Diceros bicornis minor: one gene and its partner. The protein of the gene in region 2 purifies or fractionates together with the protein of the main gene of each other region. This does not show direct contact. Links are inferred from orthologs where the notes say so. Each region holds a gene or a part of one and is shown on either strand. Other genes may lie near its edges.

Evidence for each region.
Region 1: the proteins of PPP1R15A (region 2) and EIF2S1 purify together in Homo sapiens (affinity purification with western blotting; 4 studies listed by BioGRID and IntAct, with this or other methods). This does not show direct contact. The link is inferred for Diceros bicornis minor from reciprocal best matches to the Homo sapiens genes PPP1R15A and EIF2S1.

The regions. Positions count from the first base shown.
Region 1 is NC_080763.1:16,053,663-16,064,728, forward strand, and holds the start of EIF2S1 (eukaryotic translation initiation factor 2 subunit 1), read left to right. Parts: upstream 1-6,836; 5' UTR 6,837-6,986; intron 6,987-11,038; 5' UTR 11,039-11,039; coding exon 11,040-11,066. Other genes in the region: ATP6V1D (V-type proton ATPase subunit D), read right to left, coding at 1,758-1,875, 6,188-6,228. UniProt on the Homo sapiens protein: Member of the eIF2 complex that functions in the early steps of protein synthesis by forming a ternary complex with GTP and initiator tRNA. This complex binds to a 40S ribosomal subunit, followed by mRNA binding to form a 43S pre-initiation complex (43S PIC).
Region 2 is NC_080773.1:24,459,118-24,469,618, reverse strand, and holds PPP1R15A (protein phosphatase 1 regulatory subunit 15A), read right to left. Parts: upstream 5,078-10,501; 5' UTR 4,665-5,077; intron 3,934-4,664; 5' UTR 3,925-3,933; coding exon 2,455-3,924; intron 2,035-2,454; coding exon 1,684-2,034; 3' UTR 1,603-1,683; downstream 1-1,602. Other genes in the region: TULP2 (tubby-related protein 2), read left to right, coding at 91-224; PLEKHA4 (pleckstrin homology domain-containing family A member 4), read left to right, coding at 7,207-7,290, 8,446-8,553, 9,894-9,966, 10,080-10,180, 10,339-10,448. UniProt on the Homo sapiens protein: Recruits the serine/threonine-protein phosphatase PPP1CA to prevents excessive phosphorylation of the translation initiation factor eIF-2A/EIF2S1, thereby reversing the shut-off of protein synthesis initiated by stress-inducible kinases and facilitating recovery of cells from stress.

The DNA.
Region 1 (11,066 bases), on a different chromosome or scaffold from region 2:
TAAAGGAAAAGACTAACAGATGTGACCAAATATTAAGATATCATTTTTTATAAGTTAAAAGATAAGAAAAATACTAGAGAAAATATTTTTAGCATTTTACACACTAATTAGAATGCACAGGGCCGGCCCCGTGGCTTAGCGGTTAAGTGCGCACGCTCCGCTGCTGGCGGCCCCGGGTTCGGATCCCGGGCGCCCACCCACGCACCGCTTCTCTGGCCATGCTGAGGCCGCGTCCCACATACAGCAACTAGAAGGATGTGCAGCTATGACATACAACTATCTACTGGGGCTTTGGGGGAAAAAAATAAATAAAATTATAAAAAAAAAAAAAAAGAATGTATAGATATAGAACTTCTACCAAAAAATAAGAGAAGAAATTCCCCAAGAAAATCAAATTACCAGTAAACATGAGAAGATGCTCAACCTCATAAATAACCAAAAGTAATGTAAATTAAAATAAGATAGCAATTTTAGCCCACCAGATTAGCAACGAATAAAAAAAGATTAATATCCAGTTAGGAAGAATTTAAGAAAACAGGTTCTCTCATTAATCATTTGGTAGGAACGTAAATTAGTATAACAATTTAGAGGGCAACTTGGCAGTTAGCTATTAAAAATTTAAATGAACATATCCTCAAGATTCTAAGATTCTTTTCCAGAGAAATACTAGCATACATATATACGTATTTAAGAGTACCCTCCCCCACCGAAATGGTACAATTATACATTCATCAATACAGAAAGGGTTAAATTCCATTCTCCATGTGATGGAGTACCATGCAGCTATTACAAAGCACGAGGCAGATCTATACGTATTGACATAGAAAGCTGTCCACGGTTTGCTATAAGGGTCGGGGGAAGGCGGAGAGGGGCAGAAATGTTACAGAATTGTGTGTGTGTGTGTGTGTGTGTGTATATATATATATATATATATATATATAAAATAGTTTCATGTTTGTTACTGAAAACATCCATGTGTGTGGCCATATACAGCCGGGAGGGAGGGAGGGAGGAAGGAAGGACTGAAAGGTTATAAACCAAAGTGTCACAAAGAACTCCTCTGGGAAATGAAAGGACAGTTGGGGCAGTGGGGAGGGGGACATGGGAAAGAACCTTCACTTTTTTTATATACTTCTCTATTCACTGATCATTTATCCAAAAAGCATTCAATTAAAACGTACTATGTGCCAGCACTGTTCCAGGCACAGGAAATACAGTGTTGAAAAGACAAAGAGCTTGCTCTCACGGAATTTACATTCTCTAGTGGAAGTAAACAATCAAACAAGAAAATATCATCCAGGAGAACATACTGTGATAAAAATAAAACAAGTAGATGTGAAAGAAGTAACTATGGTGGTCACTTCAGATTTGGTGATCAGTAATGGCCTCTCTGAAGAGACCAGAATGGCCAGACAAGCCAGCCATAAGAAGTTCTGGGGAAAGAGCATTCCAGGCAGAAGAAATAGCTAATGCAAAGGTCCTGGAGGAAGTTGTTAGGAAGAATGTTCCAAATGAGGTCAGTGAGGCAGGCAGGGGCCAGATCAGATCAAGTGGGGCTTTGCGGGTAAAAGCAAGGAGTTTGCATTTTACTAAATGAACTAGCTGAAACTTGTTACACTTATAATAGTATTTTTACCTTTGAAAGAAAAAAAGTTTAATTAAAATAACTTAAAGAAAAATTAAAATGCCAAGGGCCATGCTGGACTTTCCTTAGATATTTCTAAACTAAATACTGTTCTAAGCAAAGTTCCTTCTACCTCTATTATCTTCTTTAGGATCTGTCGAAATCGAAGAGTTAAGGCATCAGATTTTTTCTTCAGGAGGTTTCGACCTGTCTGTGCTCCTTTTAACCGAGCCTTCATGATGGTCTGTGCCCTATATAAACAGAGTTGAAGACATTTATTCCCAACGTTTAAAAAAATAAAAATAACTCACCAAGGGTATTAAAATTATGCTTTATTCTTTGATATCACCAGAGTGAGAATATACAGCATTTGTAGCTGACAGGTTTAATTGGTTTCTCAATACTGTAGATTTCCATCTCCAGTGTTCCATAAATGAGAAGTTTATTTATTTAAAACAAAACAATTCTTTAATCAATATCTGGAATAAGTATTTATTAAATCATAATAAAATTTACCAGGAGCCCTATTTTATTATGCCAGCATAGTTTAAATACTTATTTGATTTGTAAGTCCAAACAGTATCTGTGTTTCAGTTTCCATTAAAGGTATATTAAAGATTAAAAAAAAAAAACCTGTCCACTAATATGTATCAAAATTTGAAATGCACTTACCTTCAGGATCAACAATTCCACTTTAAGAATTAATCCTACAGATTTACTTCCCCATGTATACAAAAACATGCACAAGATTAAGTATGAGTACTCTAGCCTTATTTGTAATAGCAAAAGGGTGGAAACAAGTTCAATGTTCCATTAATCATGGTTCATAATACAATGGAATGATATGCAGCCATAAAAAAAAGAGGAAGGTAGATCTACATGTGCTTCCTATATTGTATGGTCTTGGTTATGCAAAGTAAGGGATAAATGTGCTTATATAGATACAGAGAATAGTTCTAGAAAGGATTCACAAAAACTGCTAACAGTTTCCTTTGGGAAATGGGGCTGAGTGAAAAAAATGGATTTACTTTTTAGTACTATATTCTTTTGTACCTTTTGGATTTTATGCCACAACCATTTATTACTTTTTCTATTAAAAGTGTGGCATTAAAGTGTTTTGATAACATCAATCAAGACCCTAATAGTAATCATTTTATTAATCTGTAAATGACTCTAGTTAACAGATGATATATATGTAAAGACTCCTGAGAAGTGACAAGCTACCGAAGTCTCTTTACCTCCTTATCTCAATGTTTTCCCATCAGAAACCCCAATACCAAAGTCAAGAAAGCAACAGCAGGCATCAACATTTCTGTTCTTGCTACCATATGCCAGATAAAATTTAATAATGGAAAAAAAAAAGTAGGTAATAAGATCCAATAATACATTGTATAACGTAGATACTTAAAGGGATTTGTTTAAGGGGATATAATTTCATATGACTAGTGTTACAACCAACTGCAAAATAGCATGTATTAATGAACCTTTTGGCTAAATTCTTAGATGATACCAAAATCTTTTACTATACGGCAAAGGTTACTGAGACAATTCAATAGCTGGAAGGGACTTTAGACGTTATCCTAAAAGCTAGGAAAATGAGGCTCAGAAAAGTGAAACAACTTTCCTGCAGTCACTCAGTCAAAAGGCAGAGCAGGAACTTGAACCAGATTTCTGACTCCAGTGACCTGCCCAAGACTCAAACTAAGGCTCAAACCTAGGTCCACTGTACCCCAACCACGTGCCACACTGCCTATAGCATCAGGTGAACAATTCTTTGGAAAAAAACTAGCTATCAGTGGCTGATTGGCCACTTGGCATTGACTGGCCTCGCTGGAGGTCTAACCAAGTGAAGCTGGTTCAGTTTCCAGTCTGAGCAGAAACTATCCACCCCAATGTGTACATTTAACATACCATATTGTTGACACTAACCATCAGAATTTGGGCTCAAAGAGGTGGATCAAATTTAAGTCAAATGCTAGTACTGCAGATTCCAGCAAGTTTATGGTAAAAAGGTGAACTGGTTGATAAAATTGAATTTACCATGCTAATTTTAATTTCCTCCTAGGTAATGGTACCTCTGTGAAATAGACAAATTTTAATTGAGACTCAAAGACTGACCTGCCCAAGTGCTTACAGCCAGTATGTAATAGAACCTGGGTTTGACTGACTTCTGTTGACTCTAAATCCTTCACGCCTCTGTTGCTTCCACCCCAAACTTGTTTTGCCCTCACTGGTGCCCAAGTGGGTGAAAGCCCGTTTCACAAGATAAAACTGCAAGGTAGAACTGTCTGAAACAGCAGTTGCTAGTGTATTTTCTAGCCTAGCTCCTAAGAAACCTGCTCTTTTACAAGTTTCAGAGCTGCTCAGCTCTACGAAAAATGTTTGACCTTCAGCTAAGATGATGACTTTGTTTCTAGCTGAATCAAAGACATCTGACTACATGACACAGTACCTGCTGCTAAGCCTTAGGAAAATTATTTAGAGAAGCGGTTACTTCCTGCACCTACTTTTCCTCGCAATTAGCAAGCAGAGTGCTCTCAAACAGCAATTTTCACCTTCACAAACCTATCATTTTCTTGTCTAAGCTCAAAGAAGTCTATTTTCACCTTTCAGTCTCAAAGTAAAAAAAAAAAATGTTAACACTCTGACTACTATCAAAGATCAACACAGCCAGATATCAGTTAAAGCAGTGAAAACAGATTTTATTCAATAACCACTGACCGCAGGGCAAAGAGCTGAGCTCCATTCTGATTTGTGCAGAGGTGACTTGGTGTTTTAAAGGAAGAATGAGGGAGGGGGGTGAGAGGGGACTCAGGTAGAGTCAGAGAAGTGAAAATCACACAGGGTTGGTCAGTGGAAATGTGATTAGGCCAGCTGTGTCTGCTAGCTGGCAATTAGGGAAGTTAGGATTCTATCCCTCCACAGAGACTGGGAGACAGAGGCCGTATCCCTCCTGACGATTACATCTCAAAGAAATGGTTTTCAGGTCCTTGAGAAAGACACTTCTAAGTTGGAGAGATATATACATCTCAAAGGGAGAAGTAAGGATTCATAATGGTAAGCCCTTTTTAGTAAGTGCCTTAAGAATGGGAGGTCAGGGACCTACTGTCAGGTGTTGGATAGAACAAACAAAATTCTCCAGGCAGCCATGAGCTTTCTCCAGCAGGCATTTTAACGGGGCCTGGGGTCATCCTAGGAGCACAGCCTCAGGCTGCTAGAAGCCACGCTAGAGTGTGGTGGACTTGCAGTGCAGAGGTTTGGACGGAGTCAGAGTCATTAAGTGCTGGGAGGTCTGCAGTTCCTACTGCCCCAGAGTAGTCCTGTTCCTTATCCATTTCACAGGCATTGCCTCTCCCCACACCGACCGGAGTCCCGCCAAGTACAAACAGCTATTAGAAAATCAGTAGGTGAAGTTAAAAAAGAAACAAACAAAAACCCCTTCACTTCATTACCAGCTGTAGCCACCCAGGCAGAGACAAAAATCTAGGTTTGGGGTTTGAATATAACTCTTTTATTTTAAGTGCCCTCAGATTCTCTGAGAAAACGGTCAGGATGAAGACAAACAGAAACCCCGAAAGCGACAGGACCACGATCAGAAGATCTAAATGTCAGAGCCAAAACTGATTTTCCGCTCCTCACTGAAAAAAAGAAGAGGAAGAGGAGGAGAGGGCAAATAGGAACATTCTTTACTTTCCACACGTTGTCAGGCACATTTGAGAAAACTTCAAAATTTTCTTTACAAACTGGCCAAACACCTAGGGCGCTATGCTATTTCTCCTGCCAAAGAATTCAGGTCAAAAGAGAAAGATTCCAAGGCACGGATTCGTTCAAAGAACTTTTTTTGTGCACTTTCTATGGATTAATAATCAAGACCTCATCCTGGCGAGAGCTCACAGTCCAGTGGGAAACATATGTAAATAAATACCACTTTTCAACGTGTTCAGAGGTCTGAACAAGGTGCAATGATGACAGAGCAAAAGGAGTCCCTCAGAAAATCGGGACATCTTCCCGCCGCAGGTGACATTTCACAAGATCTTGGAAAATGAGTAAGGGGATCCACGATCGAATCTAACGAGCACGCTAGGGCGATTCGATTCAATTCAATTCGCAATCAGAAGGTTCTCCTAGACGCTTCCGACCGCAGTAAACTTCCCTTCTCAGAGCATTTATCAAATCTCGTTGATTGTCCATCTCTCCGCTGAACTGTGAGCTCTGTGGGCAGGAGTGGCGACGATCCATAGTTACATAAATCCAGTGCCCGGCTCAACAAGGGAGTGTGGAAGGAACGGCTCGATTAGAGTCAAGTCAGCGGACCTCCACAAAAGCCAGCAGGCCGGGCGCCCGCTCCCACGGGCCGGGGTCGCTCTGTCCAGGCTGGTTCACTCAGGAACGTGTGAGGGGGCCGTCATGAAGCCTCGCCCCGGACTCACGAAAAGGGACTGGGGAGAGCTCAGGGTCGGCCCAGGAAACAGGGACCCTGCTGGTCCAGGGCATGGAGGGACCGCGGCTCCGGGCAGGCGTCCCTGAACCTGTGAGGGCTGCTCGTCCCATTCTTTTACTTACATTCGTGACGGAAAGATTTCAATTCGGTCTTTGCCCGACATTCTGACGATGACCGTGCGGCTCGGTCCCCGGCCGGGCTAGAGTGGCTGCAACAGCCCCAGCCACAGCGTCTTCCTCTACCGGAGTCAGCTGGCTGTGTCACTTGAGCCGCCTCTCGTTGCTAAGAGGCAGCCCGGACACCCATTCTTCACTTCCGCTTCCTGTCGGCACGGTGTGCGGCGGAGAGGAGGGGAGGGGAAGGAGGAAGGCGATGCCCGGATGTTGAGGCGCGCGCACCACGGAACCGCCTCTCAATTCCGGTTCGCCTTCTAGCCCCTCCCCCTTCAGCTCCCAGGCGGCTGCGCAAGACTCTGCACGCGCGGGGCGAAAGAACAGGAGAGAGGAGTACACTCCTTCTCTGCCTCCACTTTTCGTGTCTGGTCACAGCGCCACCTCATGGTTGACTGAAACTTTGAAAGAGGATACATTCGTCAGGGACAAGGAATCAGAATGTGCTTCTTCCCCGCGCCTTGAAGGTTACTTAGTGAAAACTAAAGACAACGAGAAAACGTACTTTTCAGGTCCTCTTATGACCCACCTTCTTCCTCGTTCTCGGAGGACCTGGACTCTATGGTCAGTGACGAAGAGGGGCCGGTGTTCTCTCGGCGCACGCGTGCTGCGAGGTGGTTCCGCATGCGCGGTGGGGTTGAGAGAAGCGCACGCTGAGGATCGGCGGTCGCTGCGGGTGGATCAAGTCTGATCTCTCCGATTAAAGAGCGTGGCGCGGGACCCCAGTGCGGGAATCACACACATACCTCAGGTGACTAGTCCCCGGGATCGGTGTCTCCAAGAACTCACTTTGGTTGTGTCCGGTGACAGGGGTGGTCGAGAGAGGGTAGGCCCCGGGCTAACACTCCTTCCCTTTCCCGTCCCTGCGCGGGAAGTGTCTGGACACTTCGGCCGCCACCCGCCGGCTGTGCGTGGGCCTCCTCGCCGGCTCCGTGGCGGTCTTCGCCCGTTGCCGTGGTGTCATTGTACAAGCGGAGGGATCTCGTGAAGGAAAGTGGGCCAGGTGGCTGTACAGCTTCTTCAGTGTGCTTATAGCAAGGATGGTTGAGGTGGGGCGGCCCCGGAGAGCGGTGTCACACCTCGCCCCTTCAATTTTAACAATTGAAGCTCATATTACCTTATCTCTCGAGTTGTGCATTTCTGTAGAATGAGTCACTCTTTGAGTTGAAACTGAAACATAACTATTGAAGAGTCTATTACTCTTAGTATCGGTTTGCCGTGTTTCAGCCCCGATGAGAATAGAGTTGTAGAATTACACGCTGTGGTCTTAGAGTTAAGCGTAACTAAAAACATAAGATAAGAGAATTTTAGGTTTAAATATGTATTTAGCTTGAGGTCCCTTTTATTATCCCCCAAATTTAGGCTACTTTAATTTTCATTAAATAAGAAACATTGTTTCTTGGAAAAAAAGGTGTAGCAGAGAAGTCTGGGTTTCCCCCCCCCCCCCCCGACTGAATGTTATTCGAGGGGAGAAATCTGTAACTGTGTGTTTTTCAACAGTCGGAGAATTATTTATATAGAGCTTTACTGCCTATTCTCAGTTCATCTGATGCCAAATGACAGTTACTGATTGTCAAAAGACCTTAAAAAGAAGCACAATAATGTTTGTAGAGATGGGTGCTTTCTCTTTCAACTACAATGAAATAGATCAAAAACTTTGTGTAGCACTCCTGACTGAAAGGTAGCGTTCAGAGAGTGTAACTGGTAAGTGCTAAAGCTGAATTAGAATTAGCACAAGCGTTTTCTCTATCACTTAAAACACTTTCCTTTGGAAAGGAATGTAGACTTCCTGTGTCCATTATGGTGAGCTGACCATGCACTGGTTTAAGCAAGGAGTCCTAGCCACCGTTTCCCTGGCAAAATCACTGACAGTGCAGGGTATTTGAAATTAGCTTGAAGTTCAGTTAGTATGTTTTGACAGATGGATATTCTTTACCAAAGAACACCTACCATGTTGTAGTACTGTAACATTGAGGCTTTGTGGGTTAAAGACACTCTGGATTTAATGTCAAAAGACTTGGTTTTAGCTCCTGTTCTAGTACTTATTAAGCCTCTGTCCTTGAGGAAGTCATTTAATATGTCTTTTCTTTGGTTCCCTGTTAATTGATTGCTTCACAGGGCTTGTTTCATGGTACCTTATATTGCAATTATTTGCTTCCTAGTTTGTTTCCCACTCTATACTTCAATTCTTTAGGTAAGAGTTGTAATTGTTGTATCAGTAGTGCTTAGTGTATAGTAGATACTGCAAAAATAATTGTTTAATAAATTGTTACAAAATGGAAATAACACCTCCTTTGCCTTTTAATATCTTATATTTGTATAGCACATTACACTTTTCAAAATGTTTTTACATATATTTTGTTTCATTTGATACTCTCCACAAATCTGTGAGGTATATGGCACAAACTAGAAACTAAAGTTCAGTGGGAATACAGTTCCAAGCAACCACAGCCAGTAAGTAGGAGAGCAAGGACTGGAACCCACCTCTAGAGCTATTCCCGAAGTTCACTGTGCTACTTGCCTGACTTGAGGGCTTATTGAGGGCCAAATAAAAGAAGTCAGAGTGCTTTGAAAATTATATAAAGATTGATAGACATCTGGTGTGTGGCTTCGATTTTCCTGACTGACTTTTTAAAAGTTAGTGTTATTATTAGCAGAAATAAGGAGATAATGTTCAAACTGTATCAACCAATATGCAGGTTCTTTGTGAAATGGATTCTTTTTGTCCTTAGCTACTTTCTGTCTTTATTGTGAGTAACATACCGTCAGCAGTATTCCCTTATTTACCCTGTATGTTGCAAAGAGACTTGTACCTCCTAAAGCAGAAGCATTCCTATCTCCCTTCAGGATTCTTTTACACTATTGCCTATGGTCTTCAACCATCAAATTAAGCATTTCTTCCCCCAAATTATCAGCTTTACTATTTGAAGAAACTTGGTAAGTAAACATGGTTAGTACCTGTTAAATCTTTTAAAACTGTTTCACACATTTCCATGATATCATCTATTTTGATACCCAGTTTGAAACTTTTGTCGCTTTCAAATTTTAGTGCTTTACACACAAATATTTGACAACAGTTGTCCAAAAAAAAAGCCCTGTTTTTTCTTTTTTTTTGAATGGAACAGCCAGCTCAGCTGTTTCTTGGTGGGTAATTCTGGCCATTGAATGTCTACTTCCCTTTATTTGCTAAATCCCTGTGTTGTCAAGCTACAAGAGAAATACATCTCTGCCACTATTATTAATATGCTTCTTTATTTTGTGTTAAACAGGCTAGATTAATACCAGAAGTTTGCACTAATCTGTGATATATGCTCCAGCACTAAATATATATATTAATGTTGCTTTTTAAGATGTTTCTAATTGTAATATATTTATCAATAATATTGAGAGAAAATATAGCCTGATGAATAAGAGGACAGACTATGGATCCAGACTTCATAGATTCAAATGCTGACTATCACTTGTTAGCAGTATATGACAGAACAAGTTGCTTAACCTGTGCCTCAGTTGCTCCATCTATAAAATGAAGAGAACTAGGAGGGGAAGTGGTACCTGAGGGAGATGGGCAGTGGCCAGATCATATCCAACCCTGTAGGTACTAGAAAGATGTATAAATCAATGGAAAGCCACTGGGAACATACATGTAGGTCTAGTTAGCCGTTCTCAAACTGCACTGCAGCAGAACTCTGGTGTTCTATGAGCTGGTTGTGGATGTTCTGTCTTAAGATCAAGTAATGGCAGCCTTATTTCCCAATTAAAAAAATAAGTTAGTAAATGAGTTTTCACAAATGTTTCATAGGTCTTTAGGCCCTATTACTGCCTATCTTCTGAGCTTTGACAACAGTAAATTGATTAAGTTTAGCAGAAAAACATGAAAATCATCAACTATGATTAATTTGAGAGCTTCCTTTTAAAAATATCCATCTACTCGTGTTATGATTTCAGGCTTATGGGTCATAAAAGGAATGATGCTGAAAGTAGGCTGGGTGGATCAAAGGGCATAGTTTTAAATATATTTAATGCTTGGAAGTTAAGAGAAACTTAAACTTTACAGAATGCAGATCTATAAAGCTATTCTCAAGATTGGGTATACCTGTTCAACAAAAGAGAAGACTATTTGAGAGTAATGGGAAAAGTAGAAGCTGGAAATTATATGGTAATGATGAATTAAATTGGAGTTTGTTTTAAGAGGAAAATATTTGGAGAGGAGGATACATTTTAGTTTAATATCTTTGGTGATTAATAAATTTTTATTTTTTGTCTTGACATGTGATATTATAATTTTGGCTATGATAAATGATAGGGTATATCATTTGATATATGGTTAAAGTTAGGAATTAAGTAGTCAGAAGATTCTTCCCTTTATGCAGTGGACGGTAGCATATACAATCGTAGCTGACTTGGAGAAAGAGTAGATTTAGTTTTTGGCTGATAGGTTTATAATAGCAATGATGCTTCCCATCATTTGTTATTTCTTAAAATGGTAGTGTTAAAATAGTATTTTACTCTTGAGGTCTACCTTTAATCCTTAGGTCTCAGAGTACATTATAGATGGTCATTATTTTTTATGATACCTCTGAAACTGATGACAGAGAATCATCCAAGCCTTACAAAAATTTGGAGCAAAGTAAAAATTAAAGCTTGGTTCCTGAACGTCCATCTGTTTTCTGGTATCACATAAGAAGTTTAAAGAGATAAGAAGACTAGTAACTTCTTCCACTGGCAAGATGTGGAAAATTGACTGACATTTCTTTATTTTGACCTTAACTGAACACTTACTTGATTCTTTTGTTTAAATTGCAGAATGCCGGGTCTAAGTTGTAGATTTTAT
Region 2 (10,501 bases):
CTTCTTGGGAGTCGTAGTTCTAGCGGCTCAGAGGCCCGCGGCCGAGACAGCAGGAATCACGCGAGGCTTAGTTCCTGACTTCCTCCGCAGCGAACTACCTGGTGCTCCAGTTTGGCCGCGTGGACCCAGACACGTTCACCATGGACTTCCGCTTCCCCCTTTGCCCGCTCCAAGCCTTCGCCATCTGTTTGTCCAGTTTCGATGGGAAGCTGGCATGTGAGTAATCCAATGAAGTATCATACTTTCATCAGCTTCTGTGCCTGCTGCTTTGGAGAAGGGGCCCCAGCGCGCCGCCTGTTGCACCACCTTACTAGTGACCAACACTTGTTAGAACGCCCCCTGGGTGCCCAGTCCTGTGCTCTAGGGATGAGGCTGTTCAGCAGTATCTGCTCTTGTGGGACTGAGAGTGGGTTGTGGCAGATGGGTCTTCAACAACAAAAAATCAAAATGCTCATCTGCTGTGAAGGAGAAAAGCACGTGGAGGCACAAGTCGGCTGGGTCAGAGCAAGGCATCTCTAAAGAAGGGATTTTCATACATCTGAAGAATCACCAGGAACTAGCTGAGCCAGAGGGGTGAGGGATGGCAACATGAGGCAGTAGGCACAGCTCATACCAAGGTCTTAAGGTGGAAGGGGGCTTGGTCTGTTTGGGAAAATGAAAGGAGGATAGTGTAGGCGGAGACTGGGGAACCCACGGAGGGGGCAGGGGATGAGGCTGGGCACGGCGCAGGACATTTGGGCCCCTCTTGTTTGAACTGCTGGACAGATCTTATGAGCTCAGAGAAGAGTTCTAAGCTGGAGGCGTAAACTTGGATGGGTAATTGAAGACACGCACGGGTGAGAGAGAATAATTCCAACACTAGCTAATGCTTACAGAACATGTTATTTGACAAGCATTGTTTTAAATGTGAACTCCGTTGGGGCCTTACCATCCCATAGGGTACATGCAATTGTTAGCCACACTTTACAGATAAGAAAATGGAGTCTGTGGACACAGGGCTTATAAATGTGAAATCAGGCAGCTGAAAACCTTGAGAAACTCACCATGTCAAGGCCAGTAGGAGGATGAGTCTTTATATTCCAGGGAGGCACAGAAAACTGGGGGTTAACCCTTTGTTAGGGATCAATGAGTCTAGCTCTCAGCCCCTTTGGGAAGATAATTGTCCCAAGTTTAATAAAATTTAGGTGGAAGCCAAAGAAAAACTAAAAAACCCACCAGACCTTAGTTCAAAAGCTTCAGGACGAGAAGAGACAAATTCGAGGGATGATGGGAAATGTAGTTTATCCTACCTTTGAGGCACTGCCTTCTAAATTTTTATTTATTTCTTTTTCCCCCAAAGCGCCAGTAGATAGTTGTATGTCATAGCTACACATCCTTCTAGTTGCTGTATGTGGGACGCGGCCTCAGCATGGCCGGAGAAGCAGTGCGTCGGTGCGCGCCCGGGATCCGAACCCAGGCCACCAGTAGCGGAGTGTGTGCACTTACTGCTAAGCCATGGGGCCGGCCCTGAGGCACTGCCTTTATGCTATTCCCCCCAACTACTTCCGGGACCCACAAGCAGTAGATATTGTCAGTTCAGAAACACACGGTGACATTGCTCACTACAAATCAAAAGGCTTTATTCCTTATATAAACCAACACTTAAAAAAAATAAATAGTTAATAACAGGTAAACCACATGATCTTAGCCACGCCTCCCACTGAGGTCCAGGCAAGGAGATACAGACACATAAGAAGGGGAGGGGAAGGCCACAGCATGGCTCAAGGGCGTGGCCTGGACGGAGGATATCTGCAAGGCATGGGTAGGGGCAGGTATGGTGGTCAGAGAAGGGGGAGAGTTCCCAAGGCGTGCCCAGGCTCTGGCCCGGGCGGCAGGGGTGAGGCAGGGGCCCAGCTCCTCTTGGGCCCGGGCGATGCGGTGGGCGAAGCGGCTTCGATCCCGGGCCAGCTGCTCCCAGGGGCCCCGGCGGGCGGCCTGGGCTGGTCCTGCCCAGACAGCCAGGAAATGGATAGTGACTTTCTCAGAGAACCGCACCTGGAGACGGACCGGCACAGCCACCAGGAGACAAGGATAGAGACACAAGATACATGTGGCCACAGGTGGGAGGGGAGGAGAGAGAGAGAACCAAACAAAAATTAATCACACAAAAATGCTTGCTATCTCGCCAGTCACCTGCCTGCCACCAGATTCTCATCTGACTCACTAAGGGTGGATGTGGGTTCCCTGAGGGTGACGTGAGCCACAGCTGCTCCCTCCTCCCACAGGGGCCCAGCCTCTTGCAAAGGATTGCATTACAGTGAACACAGCTCTCCCAACAGAATTGACATGCAACCCTCTGCAACACACGGGGCACTCAGGAGTTGGGGCCTCCAGCCCTCCGCACCCAGACCCAGGAGTTCCAGCTCCCAGCCCCCTCCTTCCTAAGACCCAAGAATCTGACCCCTCAGCACACACCTTTCTGGCCTTTAGGGGAGTCTCGGGGTCCATTTCCCGGGTGGGAGTTTCTGCAGACTTGAGCCGCCTTTGCAGTCGGAGGGGCAGCTGAGGAGGAGCCCAGGGAGGTGGCGGCTTCTCTCCAGGTACATAGATGGCCACTCGGAAGGGGCAGGGCCCAGCTTCTCCCCACTCCTCAGCAGCGTCCCCTCCCTCTGTCTCCTTTCCAGGTTGATATATCCGGCCCCTGAGGAGGGCGCTCTGGGCCTGAAGGGAGGGACTTGGCCCTGAGACAGCTGCTTCTGAATCATCGTCATCCTCATTCTCTTCCTCATCTTCCTCCTCTGTGTCCTCTCCTGGCCGATACACCCAGGCCCTGAGGAAGGCACTTGTGGGGGGGATGGAAGAGGGACCCTCAGCTGCTCCCTGTTCCTCAGCTGCTCCTGAATCACTGAATTCATCTGCCTCCTCCTCTGTGTCCTCTCCTGGCTGATACACCCAGGCCCTCAGGAAGGCACTTGTGGGGGGGATGGAAGAGGGACCCTCAGCTGCTCCTGAATCACTGAATTCATCTTGCTCTTCATCGTCTTCCTCTGTGATCTTAGTGGGTTGACACTGCCAGGGCCTGAGCAGGGGCCTCTGGGCTCGAATTGAGGAGTGTGGCTCTGGGTCAGCTTCTCCGTTCTCAGCCTTTTTGTCCTTCTCCTCCTCAGACTCCTCTCCTGAACAACACTCCCAGGCCCTGGGGTGGGAGCCTGCAGTTGAGGGGGAAATGGAGGTCTTCGTGGCTTCTTTAATTGTTCTTTCTTCTTCCTTGGTTGCTCGATCCTCTTCCTCCCCTGAGCAATCTACCCAAGCTGTGGGTTTGGATCCCGGAGATGAGGAGGAAGTAGATGTTCTGGGACTTTCTTTGTTTACAGCTTCTCCATCCTTCTCCTCCTCCACCCCTGGACAACACTCCCAGTGTGACAGAGGAAAAGAGAACGTGATGGCTTCTTTATCTTCAGCAACTCCTCCTTCCTCAGATTCCTCCTCCCTAGGAGGGTCTTGCAGGGTTCTTATCAGAAGGCTGGGGCACAGGGGAACAGGCTGGCCATCTATAAATTCACTTCCCTGCTCTCTAGGGACACTGGTGGCTTCCTCCTCACCATACTCTTCATCAGCATCATCTGAGAGTCCCCAGGCTTCAAGAAGAGAACTGTTGGCTTTCAGGTCAGGGCAGGTCCCCCATGATGCTTCTCCATCCTCCTCTTGAGGGTACCTGCCCCCGGGGGCATGGTGGGTGGCCAGAGAAGCCTTAGTTTCTCCCTCCAAGCCAGCTTCTTCCTGATCTGCACTCGTTACTGCTTCCACCAGCCAGGGCTCTGGAGATCCTGGGCCCCTCAGGTGGCTCCAGGCCCGGCTGAGGAGGCCCATCAGCGGGGAGAGGAGGAGGAAGGGGTGGGCATCCTTCCAGGGGGCGGACTGATGCGGCACTTGGCCTGGGGCCATCTGTCTGGGCTGGGAAAAAGGGAGGAAAAAAGGGAATAAAGTTTAAAAGCCATTTAGGGGATAGCATCAGGGAATGACCGTGAGTCACAGCAACAGAAGTAGTAACACAAATAGCAACGCAGAGTCCCCGCCCACATTCCTTTCTAATCCCAGCCACTCCCCATCTCTCTCCCGTGGTTCTCACCTCTCCCCTCAATACCCAGGAGTCTAGGTCCCCAGGTCTCTCCTTCCTTAGACCCAAGAGGCCAAGCCCCCAGCCCCATCTTCCCTCAGACCCAGAAGTCCCGGTCCCAAGAACTGAGAACGCAGGTCCTCTGCTTGCTTCCCGTGGGGACAAAGTCCTAGTCCCCGGTTCTCTCATCCTCCTGAGGATCGACAAGTCGGGCCCTCATCACCCTCCTCCCTCGGAGACTCAAAAATTCCGACTCCCATATGGTTCCTTCATTGGAGACCCAAGAGTCTGGCCCCTAGACCCCTCCTCCGTTAGGCTCAGCACTCCAGGGTCCCAATCCCTTCTTCTTCCTAAGTCCGAGCCCTGGAGTCCGTCCCTGTCCCCCAAGCCTCCCCGGACACAAGAGTTCTAGCTCCCAGGCCCTCCTTCCTCAGGACCCAGGAGTCCCGGCCCCCGAACCCGCCTGTCTCGGTACCCAGAAGCCCAAGCTCCCTCCTCATTACCGACCAGGAGTCTGATCCCCAGCCCCCAGCCCCTCGGGACCCAGGCGTTCCGACCCCTCACTCACCGGCTCGGGGCTGTGCGTCACCCCGGGGGCAGGAGCGCGGGCTCGGTCTTCCACAAGCGATCGCAGGTCCGGACGGCTCGGGAGGCCAGTGCGTTCATTTCGCCCTCCGGCGTCGGGTTCGGTGACTCAAGTCACTCAAGACACCAAGCGCTGTCGCGACAAACGGACGCGGAGTCGTGCCAGAAAATACATGCAGTCAACAGCTGGGAGCTAATCAGCTCTGACGCCGCCCGCGAGACTTTTATAGTCTAACGCGGCCGGACGTGATGACGTCACTAGGAGAGGCGGGGTTTCGAAACGAAGACGTGGGGGAAGGGAAAATAGGGTTGGAATTCTCGCGGAAAGTCCGAGCTTTGTGACGTCACGGCGGAGTTTCGGAGCGTAGCCACGCCCGGAAGCAGGCGAGCTGTCAATCAAACGCGTGAATGGCTTTAGCAGAGAGGGACGTCTCTAAACTCCTGTTCCAGGCAAACGCCTTCCCTCCCCAATTTAACCAGCAGGTCCCAGTCTAGACTCTCCCACCTTCACGTCCTCCCCGGTGTGGGATAGTATTATTGTTTCCATTTCGCAGATCAGGAAAGTGAGTCTTGGGAATGAGGTTACTTGCCCAAGGTGGTCACAGTAGAGTCTAGATTCATTGCAAATGAGAACAAGAATGTCAGCACTCTGAGGGCAGCACTTGGCTTTGCTCCGTGCTTTCTTCTCAGTGCCTGGCACACAGTAGGTGCTCAGCAAATATGTAGTGAGTGGATACTAAACCAAAAGCTCAGACCCCTTCCTGGCCTCAGGCACAAGATTCCACTCCTCAATTTCACCTGCTTCAAACTCATACGAAAGCCTTGTTTTTACACAAACTCAAATTCTTGCTGGGTAGCATCAATGAACCTCATGGGAGGTCTGCCACAAGTTCCAGGCCCAGAGACACAGCCCCAATTCCCGGCCCTTGCCGCACCATCCCCCCTTCCGGGTCCACAATTCTTCTCAAAATACGCCCTGAACCATGCTTCCCTCCTAAGGGGGTCATCCTCAGTCTAGAACAGAATTCTCACCTGGATCTGAGGTGGACATCTGACCCTGGCTACTTGACCCTGCTCTAGCCAGAATCCAGGATCCAGGGCCACTCCCTCCTCCCTGCAGGACTGGGACCCTTCCACTCAAAGCCACGCTTCCAGACCCCCGGCTCCATTCACAACTCAGGAGTCCTGCTTCCTGGCTCACACCTGCTCAGGTACCCAGAAATCTGAGCTCCCACCCCTTCCAAGATCCAAGCTACCTCCATTCAGGGGGCCAATGACCCATGCCCCTGATGACAACCAGCCCACCGGGGCCCTGGAGTCCACGCCCACCTCCTACTCTCCAAACATTTAGGAATCCCAGTCTCAGCCCTTATGGGACCCCGGCTTTCCAGGCCCCCACCGCAGCAGGGACCCAAGAGTCAGGGGGGCCCCAGCCCCTCCCCTCAGCTGTGGGGGTAGCTGAGCCAGGGGGTCAGGCTGTGGTGGGGAGGCCAGGAGGGGCGGGGTCAGCCGGGATTGGGAGGGGAGACAGCAGCGTGGGCGGCTGGCAAACCAGCAGAGAGGAAAGAGAAACTGGGAGAGGGAGGAAGAGAGAAAGTGAGAAGGAGAATCTGGGAGAGAGGAGGAGACAGAAGACCTGGAGGGCAAGAAAGAGAAAGAAAGAGGAAGAGATTGTGAGGGGGAGGGAGAGGGAGAACGAGATGGAGACTTAAGGAAGAGACTCTCTGAGTTCGGGGGAAAAAGATTTGGACAGAAACAGAAAGATTGGAAGAGAAAGTGATACGGGGGGCGAGGGAGAGAATGAGTGACAGAGAGACTAGAAGAGACAGAGATTAGAGAGACAAAAGGTGAGATTGGAGACAGAGACAGCCGAAAAGAAAGGGAGAGTGTGAGAGAAAGAGAGACTATAAGAGACAAGAGACAAAAAGAGTGTGAGGGAGCAGGTGAGAAGCAAGACTGAGGTCTATGAGAGGCAGCACCTAACAGACGGAGAAGGAGGGAGACTGTGGTCCCAGCACCCACACAGCCCTCTTGCTCCCTGTTGTTGGGACCTCAGAGCTGGTAAGTTTCCTGGCTGGGCTGGGAGGGGCTGCCTGGGTTTGCATTCCTGGGTGGTGCCCCAGGGCTTGGCAGGGGTGGTTTAGGGGTGCATGTGGGAGGGCAGGAGACAGGTAGCCGGGGGCAGCCGGAAAGAGGCAGGGCATGGGGGGGTCCCTCAGCACAGAGAGGGTCAAATTCCTGGCCAGAGGGCAGAGGGCGAGAATAAAGGACCCCCTATTCTCTGTCTTGGGCTGCAGACAGCTGCCCCCTCCCCGCAGCTGCCAGTGCCGCCCACCTCTCTTGGCATCGCTCTTGGTATGCGGTCTGGGCCAGGGCCTCCTCCAACCCCCCAGGCCCCGAACAACAGGCTCTTTCTCCTCAGCCTCCTCCTCCGACCTGCGAGCCCCTGACCCCGTCTCTGTCCCCAGCCGGGTCAGCTGCAGAGATATGCACACAGTCCCTTTCTTTCTCTCCCCAAGCCCTCGATGGAGGAGGGCAGACCTCGGAGCAGCCTCAGCCTAGCCAGCAGCGCCTCTACCATCTCCTCGCTGGGCAGCCTGAGCACCAAGGTTCGAGCTTCTTGGTGGAGCTGGGGGGCTAGTGGGGGGGGCGGGGCTCTGGGCTGCCCCATCCTCCTGTTTCCTAGGCCTGGGTTCAGCGCCACCCTAGGGACTCTGGTTGTTAAGAGCAAGGATCCTTAGCAACGAGGTCTCCCAGACCTAGTAAGGTCCCAAATTGCCCACCAGTTGTAGCTAGGAATTCAGAGCCACTCCCAACTGTCCCCACCCCTCCTATTTTCCTAATTTGAAGCCAGAGTAATAACTCGGCTTGACTCTGGTTGCTGAGATAGGGCCACTCCCCAGACATGAGCCCCGCCTCCCCCCAGTAACTCAGATGTGGTGGCTACTCTTGATTAGGACTGAGAACTCCCTGGCCTGTCTCTAGCCATCCCATCTAACCAGCTCTGAAATCCGATAAGGAAAGACCTTTCTCTGACAATAAGACCCCGTGAGGCCTGAGATAGTTGCATCCTAAATCTTCACCCCAGCCCAAAGTTCAGTGATGACACTTATTTTCTTCTCCTTCTGTCATTCTCTTCACTCATGTCCATTTTCCCGAGTTCAGAATCCACAGATTTGATCCTGATCTTGGTCAGTACCATCCCCAAGGAAGGGCATCCTGTGGGAATCTGGCTGTGGATGCCTGAAATGCTTGTGTGCACAGGAGAGGGGGCTCCATCTGTTGGGAGAGGTTTGGAGCCATCTCTCTACCGTGGACATGGTTGCTAAGGGATGTCACTACCCGGCACTGAGGTGTCCTTCGATTCTGGCCGACCCATTTCCAGGGACTCAGCATGGAGGACCCTCCTGATGATGAGGCCCTCCCAGGCAATATTTCCAGTTCGGATCCCACAGGCTGTCCTACATCCCTGACTCTGGTGGCCAAGGGCATCCTTTCCTTGGCAGTGGACTCTTGATTCCCAAATGCCTTCCCCATCAGCCAGTAGCCTCTTCCTTGCCTCCGAACACCTCCGTCTGCCCATCCAGAGTGTCTCTCAACTCTGCACGACGCACACGCAATTCCGATCTCGAAACTCAGCTCCCTCCTTGACCTGGTTTCTAAAGGCAGCCAAGTGAGGGCCTCAGGTTGCCTGCGTCCCGCTGCACCACCTCCCCAAGCCCATCCCGAGGCCTTGTTCACTTCTGTTCTCCTTCTCTCCTCAGAAGCCCACCCGGGCAGTAAGCAAGGTCCACGCCTTCGGGAAGAGGGGCAATGCGCTCAGAAGGGATCCCAACCTCCCCGTGCACATCCGAGGCTGGCTTCATAAGCAGGTGGGGTGAGCAGGAAAAGGGAAAGGACACCCCCGCTAGAGGCTGTGCCCCTGGCTGTCTGCTGTTTCTCTCCTTCCAAGTCTCCAAATATGTTTCTTTTTTTCCTATCACTACTTCTCTTATTCTGCCATTGTTTCATTCATCCACTCATTCATTCAGTGACGACTTCTTGAATATTTACAAGGTACCAAGCCCTGGGGCACTTATGCAAATAAGACAAACAAGTGTCTATAGTACTGTACATTCAAGATGGGGGTGGGGCAGGGATGGATAATGAATTCATACATATAAATAAATGGACTCGATGGTTTCAGATTGTAGGAACTGCTGCGAAGAAATAACACGGGGATGTGCTCAAAAGTGGCTGAGGGATGAGAGCTGCGTTTGACTGTTGGTCAGGGAAGGCTTCTCTGAGATGACATTTGAGCTGAGAACTAAAGGACAAGAAGGACCCCTTCATGCTAAGATCTGGGGGGCAGAGGGAATCCGAGAGCGAAAGACCCTGCAGCAGGTCAAAGCTTGGTGTTTGGAGTGAGCCAAGGGGGGAGAGAGGTTTGGCAGGGCAGCCATTCTCAACGTGTCCTGGACCAGCAGCATCAGTGTCACCTGGGAACATGCTGGAAATGCACATTGTCAGGTCCCACCCTGGATCTACTGGCACAGGAGCTCTGGGGACGGGTCCCAGGAACCTGTGTTTTAACAATGCCTCCTGGTAATTTTCATGCATGCCCAAATTTGAGATTCTCAGCAAGCCAGTAAACTAGGGTAAGGAATTTGAGATTTATTCTAAGCGTGATGATAAACTTTGTTTTGAGCAGGGAACTCACATGATCTGCCATAATTTTAAAAGATCATGCTGGGTTCTGTGGGAACGGATTGAAGAGGAGAAGAGGGGCATAGGGTTAGAGATGGTGGAGCAGTTCAAGCAGAGATGATGGGAAGACAGGATTGGGGTTACGGCCTCTCTGTCTCAGGCTCCAGAATAATCGGACCAAGTCTGGAATATAAAGCCGCTACCCACATGTGGTACAGTATCTCGTTCCAACCTTCCTGTAACTTCTCAGTCCCCAAGTGACAGATGAAGGTCCTAGTGGAGAAATGACTTGTTTAAGGGCATAGTGGTGGGGCTAGAAGACACACTCAGGTTGGGCTGTATCCAGAATCGATGGCCTTTCAACCACAACGCTCTGGCTTCCAGTTCTCCATCTGAATCTATTGCGTCAAACATGCGTCTCTGCTACTTTCCTCTCTTTGGGTCTCTGTCCCCAAGTGTCACTGTCTCCTTCTCCTTTTTTCCTCTCCGCTGTACTCAGGCCTCTCCTCCCAATCTCTCTCCCCAGGACAGCTCCGGGCTCCGGCTCTGGAAACGCCGCTGGTTCGTCCTCTCTGGTCATTGCCTCTTCTATTACAAGGGTCAGTGCCCAGCTGGCATGGGGTAGGCGGGCCCCCCTCCCACCATCCCTGTCCTCTAGGTTCTCAGCCTCCAGATCCCTGTGTGATCCCTGACCCCAGCCCCTCTTTTGCAGACAGCCGCGAGGAGAGCGTCCTGGGCAGCGTCCTACTCCCCAGCTACAGTATCAGGCCAGATGGGGCAGGAGCCCCCCGAGGGCGGCGCTTCACCTTCACCGTGAGTCTCTCCATCGCCCATGGACACTAAGGCACTAGGCCATGGGGGCAGGCATTGGAGCATCCATTATTGGAGATAAAAGATATTGACCAGGGTCCCGGGCGTCTTCCTTTTTAGAAGTCCCGGGCGTCCGGGTCCCCAGCTCTCTCTTCCCGCAGGCGGAGCACCCAGGCATGAGGACCTACGTCCTGGCCGCTGACACGCTAGAGGACCTGCGAGGCTGGCTACGGGCGCTGGGCCGGGCCTCCCGCGCAGAGGGGGACGATTGGTGAGTGTGGGTCCATGCCACGCCCCTAACCCTGTACTTCCAATCCGAGTCCG